Oryzias latipes: one gene and its partner. The protein of the gene in region 1 purifies or fractionates together with the protein of each later gene. This does not show direct contact. Links are inferred from orthologs where the notes say so. Each region holds a gene or a part of one and is shown on either strand. Other genes may lie near its edges. The genes, in order: ift27 and ift57.

What was found.
Region 2: the proteins of ift27 (region 1) and ift57 purify together in Homo sapiens (co-immunoprecipitation; 3 studies listed by BioGRID and IntAct, with this or other methods). This does not show direct contact. The link is inferred for Oryzias latipes from reciprocal best matches to the Homo sapiens genes IFT27 and IFT57.

What each region holds. Positions count from the first base shown.
Region 1 is NC_019859.2:24,935,378-24,939,201, reverse strand, and holds part of ift27 (intraflagellar transport protein 27 homolog), read right to left. Parts: intron 2,097-3,824; coding exon 2,037-2,096; intron 1,570-2,036; coding exon 1,510-1,569; intron 328-1,509; coding exon 210-327; intron 1-209. UniProt on the Homo sapiens protein: Small GTPase-like component of the intraflagellar transport (IFT) complex B that promotes the exit of the BBSome complex from cilia via its interaction with ARL6. Not involved in entry of the BBSome complex into cilium. Prevents aggregation of GTP-free ARL6.
Region 2 is NC_019875.2:10,097,871-10,101,923, forward strand, and holds the end of ift57 (intraflagellar transport protein 57 homolog), read right to left. Parts: intron 3,503-4,053; coding exon 3,380-3,502; intron 3,266-3,379; coding exon 3,194-3,265; intron 2,253-3,193; coding exon 2,121-2,252; intron 2,042-2,120; coding exon 1,979-2,041; intron 1,520-1,978; coding exon 1,453-1,519; intron 1,342-1,452; coding exon 1,160-1,341; 3' UTR 522-1,159; downstream 1-521. UniProt on the Homo sapiens protein: Required for the formation of cilia. Plays an indirect role in sonic hedgehog signaling, cilia being required for all activity of the hedgehog pathway.

The DNA of each region.
Region 1 (3,824 bases):
TAGTTGAATTTTGGGTTTTAGCCAATTTCCAAAGGAGATGTTAAAATAAAATAGTTTTTGGTAAATATTTTCTGTCGTTTCTAATATTCGTTAAAGAACATGAAGGGAAAGAGAAAAAAATCTATTAAAATTGAATTTGGTCTGCAAAAAATCTGAGATTTTATTTTTTGGCCATTTAATTTTATTATTCAATAAATGTGGTGTCTTACCTGGAACACGAAAACCTCTGCAGTGTCGGCGGATTCTTTCCAACCAACGGCCGCAGTTGACAAATGACTGCTCATTGGTCAAATCAAAAACGAGGCAAAACAGGGAAGGTTCACCCCACTGTTGTAGGAAATGAATGTCCATTAGGGCTGCACGATATGAGGAAAACCTGCGATTTGCGATATTAGTGATCAATATTTCGATGACGATATAACTTGTGATACAAGAAAGAACAGCAAAACAACTAAATACATCATTTCCATTTCACTGCAAAAGTTTAATTTAGATAAGAGTTAAAATAACTTAAATTATGCTCCAAATGACCTTTGTCTACATAGAGGTGAGCATCTTACATAAAGGGGCTCCATTTGATTGGTCAATAACTTAAAAGAGCCAATCCGATTTGTCAAATGCATGAAGGGATTTATTTGATTTGTTAAATATTTCAATCTGCCATAACATTGTTTTAGCAAGTTTAAGGTAACCATTTATTGCAATTTTCACTAACTTTTGCGATATGCGTATTGCACAGCTTGATATCACAATAACGATAAATTTGAGGATTGATAGTATCACATCGGTTTTCTCCTTTAATCGTCCTCTGGGTCAGATTTCTGGCTCTACATTTTATGTGGGTGCAGAGCTCTCCATGAAAAAAAAAACAACCATTTTATAAAGACGGTGTAGGTACCATAACCGTTTGGCCAGGAACTTGCGTTTAGGGTCCTGGGACTAATGCTGACGTCACATTATGTGATTGGCTGTGCGTTGGTCCGATGACGTGTCAGATAGTGATTGGTCTGGACAAATTAGGATACTACCATAAAAGAAAATATTATGAAGTCTGTTGCAAACAAACAGATCTCTGACATAAAGCGAGATTGTTTTTTAAAGTGCCTTTGTTATTGTTATTATTATTATTGAATGCATGTTCGCTTATAGTTTTTTCAATCCGTGCGCCCAGTGCTTTATTATTGACAGAACGGACTCGGAAGAACAACATTTAGCTGACAACATTTTTAGCCAAGCTAAAAGACAAGCGGATTGTGGCCACATCTCTTTATAAAAATTACAAAGAATATTGTCAGACACAATTTATGAGGGAAAATAACTGTAGGTTACAAAAGGGAACGTGAAAGGAAAATTTGTAGAGCCCGAGCAGATCTCGACGTTACGTAGTTTGTCCAAGTGGGGTTACCGTAGTGGGACGTTACCTTCAGTCGAAAGGACCCTGAAGAGAGGTTCCAGGCCGAACGGGTATGGTAGCTACAACGGAAAAAACCTCCAGAGAAGCAGCCTTACCAGTTTTTCACAGGCATCCACGAGGGCCTCCTTCCCTGCAGAGTCAAAGATGTAGAACTCCTGTAGAGGAAAGGAGCAAAGAAAAATGACGAGATGTGTTACAAAGAAAATTTTAGTTAAATAGTTTCCCATTTCCTTGTCTTTCTGGCAGAAGCATTTCTCTTCCTCCCTCCATGCTGCTACAAATGAGAAACTGACTTTTAGATATCAGCACCCCATCCATCCCTAAGATAAATAAAACAGAGGTGAACCAGCTGAGTGCTAAACTCATCTTAGGCAAACCAGCAGTCTGTTATTTTGTGTTAGTCCTCTGAAGTATCATACAATCTATACGACAAGTACAATGTCAAATTTTCAGCTAAATGAAAAAATAAAATGAGACAAATACATTTATTTACCGACTGCAACCACATGCTTCCGTTTCCTGTAGCTCAGTTCAGACGGGTTTTTTTGACAGATGCACTGACTGTCCGACCGGAAAACCACAGACTGAGAGCTGCTATGAAAGAAGAGGAGACCATGCTCACCACGCTGTGTGGAGTTTCTGGGATGTTGATACACTTCACCACCAGCTCCACTCCTGTTGTCTGAAAAACAGAAAAAGGGTTTTTTATATGCAGAGCTATTAGGGAAATACCTTTATTTTATCTAGAGTATTTTTTTCTTAAGAATGACGGGCAGCATTTGGACATGCCTGCATTAAGATATTATGAATGCAAGCTTTTGATTAAAAAGAAAAGGGTTTGCTAATAATTACTAGAAAGCTGGTTGTGTTCCCTGACTGTTACTTTCTTTGGTAGAAATATATATATTTTTGGTTTTAAATCAATTTGCTGCAATGCTGTGTGAGCTTCATGTGTGTTCAGTGGAGGTAAATGCATTACGTAAACAAATACCGGATGGCAAACTGTTAACTTCTAAAAGTTTTAAAAGGATTTTGGCAGCGGCATAAAATGTAATACACAACTTTGCATTAACCCAACTTTTGCCTCTTGTGCACATAGATGCACAAGAGAAGCATACTGCAGCCCCACTCCACAGCAGTCTAATGAGCTGCTGTGATGCACAGGAGGCCTCTCTGTGGAATGTCAATGAGGTTCTGTTAGCGAAAAATATCGTACAATATTGCTAACAGGCTGTCTGGCATTTTCAAAGGAGGATGTAAGCAGAATGACTTACGGAATTGGCTACCCTTCAAAACCAAAAGTGAAAAAACAGGAGCAGTGAGAGGACTTTCTTTTATCATAGTTTTACAACTGAAAAGAAAACCACAACTATTTTAATTAACAAAAACATCATTGAAAACAACAACAACAACAACATCTACATCACATAAACAAATAAAAATGTTATCAAAAGAAGTCATTTAACTTGTGTTTTTGGTGTTTTTAACATGTTTTTGTGAATTTTTTCTGATGATGGAGGACAAAAAAAAGAAAGTTAAGATTCAAATTGTATTTTTAAGTGGTTCTGCCCACAACCGGGGCAAATTTCTAATAAACTGCTGCCGTTCTGCAAGAGACTATGTCCTAGAAAACAACAGCTTTTTAAATTTTGGCTAAGAACTATATCATCATAATTAAAAGACAACTGGAAACACGTTTAAAATAGATCAAAAGATGTTTGAAAATGGGACTTGGAAACATTTAAAGCATTTTCCTTTTTTTTGCAAATGTTATGTATAGAAACATAAAACCTAAAACTAGCATCACAAAACGTGAAAGGATAAACATGCTTTTCCAGTGACAGACTAACTGCACTTACTGCATTTCTCCATGTGGTTTATTGACTTATTAAGTACATGTTAAGTACAGATCCTGCTGTAGTCATTTTCACTATTTCACTCTTTCTCTATTCCAATATATGAAAGATGTGGTGTCACAAGATTCTAGTCACGTACAAACAGCAGTTATTAACTAAAGATAGAGGTTGCTTTAAAGTAGGAAGTGTGAATGCAAGGGAATTATGAAGAGGATCACAAAACTTTATTTACATGCATAACATGAATACATTTAGAATCTACTACATAACTTAGCACCAGCCGCTCTTGCCAAAGAAGCACGTGTGAGCGTGTAACCAGATGATCTGTGTGGTGACCGTGTTAATCCCTCTGCGTAAAAGTACCTTAAGTCAGTCAGCCTGCACTGTGAGAGGTTTTAGAGAGAGCAACTTAATACCACACCAAATCATTTACCAACAAACAAAGCTTTCACTGAACTTTAAACAAGGCCTTAAACACACACACACACACACACGTCAACACTAAACCTGAACCTGCTTGGATTTTGTATTTCTAGACATGAACTATTTTCTTT
Region 2 (4,053 bases), on another chromosome or scaffold:
TCCATGACGTTGTTTTTAAAATATCTCATAAAAACCTGTGTGCAAAGGGTATAAAGTATGGAAAAAGGCACGAAAATAATAAACACAACATTTCTGTAAGCTATAAAATATAAGGGACACGGTTGTTTTGTATCATTTAATCACCTTTAAAACGTGTTTATTGAAATATAATTTTGATTTCACTTTTCTTTTAAACAAGCTTAAAGTCAAGCGGAAGGCTTTTGCGGAGTTATTTATCTCATTTTGAGTTTTCGATGGGCAGTTTCAGCAAAACAGAAACAAAGAATGAACTCACCGATGCTTTTCTTCTGGATTACTAAGCGGAAGTGTGGAGGAAAATCTTCCTGTAGCCGCCAATCTCTTGCTTTTTCCGTTTCGTTTAGTTTTTCTGTTCTTTTGTAGTATTTTTTTTAAATAATTACATGGTTTAGAAAACCCGACAGTGTGACGACGCCCCGCCTGCGCATAAGGAACAAACAGCTGCTGTCAAACAAAAACAAAAAAACATGCTGCTTCCGGTTTGACTCTCCAAAGTAAATTTATTCCATGCGTTAAAAAGCAGAGAACATTGAAAGCCAAACTTACCAAGTTTAAGTTAGAAATATTTAAGTGGATTTATTGAACAGTAGCAAGTCTCAACATATTTTCTATCCTAAGCAAAAAATAAAAAAATTAAAATCCTTGTTTATTTTAAAGGCAGGATAAGGGCTCAGGAATAGTGCCCTGACAAGTGTTGGTATAACTTGCTAAATAACTAACTGGGATTTCTTTCGACATTTTACTAGAACACTAAAGCAGCTCTTTGTACTTCTCGATGATTTATTTTCCTGCTTCTTAAATATGTTTGTCATTTCTGACAAAAACTACAGTTTATGTACATGTTTTTTCAAAAATTTCAAAGTAAAGGTTCAACGAATTTGGATTTCAGTGCAGTAACAGTGACCTCTAGTGTTCATTTGGCTCCAATTAATGTAAACATTTTCTGGGTCCAGATGATTTAGACTTTTGCAGTTCAGGTGTGTTTATTTGTTTATTAAAGGTAGTAAAAAAATAAATGTTTGAAATTTCAATAAATGTTTCATTTGTAACTGATTTGAAAGAACGACCATTTTGTTTCAGATCAGAACTGGCTCCGGTTTGACCCGGTCCGTGAGTGCTGCTAAGCGAAGGGCCCTGCAGTGGGCTCAGGGATGTTGGTGGCGTGCATGTCGCGCGTCATGTTGGACTTCTCCTTGAGTTTGGCCTGCAGCAGGGTGTGCTCCACCACGCCGATCCTCAAGTCAATCTGCACGATCTCCTGCTTCAGCTTCGTCAGACTCTGGTTGATCTTTACCACCGGAGCTAAGGAGCACACACACACACACACACACACACACACACAAAGTACCCGGGTCAGACTCACAGCAAGCAGAGACACAGAAGACAAACGCACAGCAGTGGCCTCTGCTTCACCTGCATCCGACATGCTGCTGCCCTTCTCCTCCATCTCCTGCTTCACCTTGTCCAGCTCCTCGCTGATCTGAAGCAGAGAAACAATCCTGCGGTCTCACAGAGATGCATCTGCAGGGCTCATCAGCTTTAAAGAGGCATTACTGCACATGGAAGATAAATTGGAAAAACCTTCCATGTGTGTAAAAACTAAAAAAAGAAAAACTGGATGTTTCAAAATAAAACATCATAGGGATAAAGATAAACTTTATCACAAGTACCCCAATTTAACATTTTTTAACAATCAAAATAAAAATTTTGATTATTTTGTAGTAAAGAACAAAGTTAAAACACAGGACTTTTATAGCTATGTCATTAAGATTACAGTTATTAAAAATGGTGCAACAGCTGAATGATGACAAAGTGTTTATTTTATCTTAAGTTATTTTAAATAACTGCTTCTAAATAGTTTTAATGGCTTTAGTCATCTTTTGGTTTGCTGCTTATCCTAATCAATGATCTTGTTTGACTTGGTGATGCGTTCACTGACCTCAGCCAGGACTCTGCTTCTCTCGGTCACCCCTCCACTGGCCTGTTGGTAGCGTTCCTTGGCCTGCAGATTGAGGATCACATAAGGTCAGCAGCTGAAACTCTTTGAGGTGTCTCATTTGTGTGTTTGTGTGTGTGTGCACCTCGCTGAGTTTGGCCTGGGCGCTGCGGTACTCCTGCACCGGAAGCTCTAGCTGGTTGTTGATGTACTTCTCCCTGCTGCTCACTTTCTCCTGAGTCTTTCCGATGTCTTCCTGCAGCTTGTCCATGTAGCTCTGCAGCCAGAGAGAAGATCATAAGTATGTTTATTCTAGGGGTGTGACGATTCATTGATGAATCGATTCCTATTCCTACAATCCAACCAGATCCATCTGTCTAAGGCACATTGTTAATAGAAATCAAATCGACCTATAGAATCCTTTCAAAATTAAAGAAAATACCGTTTGGATTGAGACATGGTAGCTTTCTTTTACTATAATGTTAAAACAACTAAGGATAACACAGAACAACACACATGTGATGTCAGCATGAAATGATCAGCCCATCATTCCAGTCCAATGTGTGGAAAGACTCAAAGTCATGTGACCATTCAGTGTGGAAGAATGCTCTAATATTGTTCCGTTTGTGTTATTGTGATGTGGAAAAACAACAGTGGGCTGAATTTTTATCAAACTAAAACGTGAATGAATTTTCCATCATTTCTTGTTTGTTTGTTTACATATTTAATTTACACTCGATTATCTTGCAAGAAATCCACAGAATGTGGAAAAACTTCACCTGCCCTTTTCGGTAGCCAGGTATTCATCTCTGAGTCACACTGGTTACATTTTTGGCTAAAGATGTCCTGGATCGATTTTAGGTCGGTGAATCGGATCGTTCAAAAGAAACTAATATCAACAATGAAACGTATCAGAAACCACAAATGATGAGATGAATCGAATCGTCATTAAAAGGAATCGTTACAGCCCTAGTTTACTCCAAGGACACACAAGGATCTCAGTCTGAACTGTATGTGACTCTGGGGTTTGTTTTCCAAAGTGTGGTGCAGCCAGATCTGGTGTGTCATGAGTCCTGGTCTCTGGTCTGATCTGGTGTGTCATGAGTCCTGGTCTCTGGTCTGATCTGGTGTGTCATGAGTCCTGGTCTCTGGTCTGATCAGAACCTTTTGGACTTTGTCAGCAGTATGGCTCGGTTCTTCTACAGTCTGTGAACGAACCTTGGACTCTTTGAACAGGGAGTCGATTTTGTCTTGGTACTGATGCATCTGCTCCAGGTGGACCCTCCAGTCCTGCAGAAAACGGAAAAAGCAACACACCACGGCATGATGGGAAAGAGCGTTATGTTAAAGCAGAAAACTGGCCTCAGCGCTGACAGCTAGTAGATAGAAATCCTCCGTTTGAACCTTATTGTCGTTCCTGATGGTGACTTTCAGGTGTGGTATGACTCTCTCCACCTCCAGGTTCCACTCTGCAGCATCCACAGTCGCCTCCAAGATCTCCTCGGGTTTGGATGACAGTTCTGGTTCCTGTCAGACAGTAGGTCTGGTTTAAGAGCTCGACTCCTCTCTGAGAGGAACAGCCTCTGTGAAGGATCTGACCATTGAGTGTGTGAGAACTGGACTAAGCTAGTGAGACGTCTTTCTATGAGCCACCTGGTAGAACAGAGGTGGGCACTGAGGGCCGCATTCCTGCATGTTTTCCAGCATACCCTGCTCTGGCATGTTCTAATTGGCTGGACACACCTGAACCAGGTAATCAGTCATGAGTAGGGCAAGATTATTGGCTGGACACACCTGAACCAGGTAATCAGCCATGAGTAGGGAAAGGCTATCTTGAAATCATGCAGACACACCGGCCCTCGAGGCCTGGAATTGCCCACCCCTGTGGTAGAAAATGCCTCACTTCCAGCCCCAACCAAAAGAAGTCAATTCAGTCGCCTTTTTTTTTTTGCATAACGGATGCCGCCACGTTGAAACCAAAGGACGTCAGAGTGGTAGGACCGAATCGATCAAAGTCATCATTTCTATGGCAACCACTCTCGCCAATCAGGAGTGAGCTTGTGGAAGTCCACACCCCT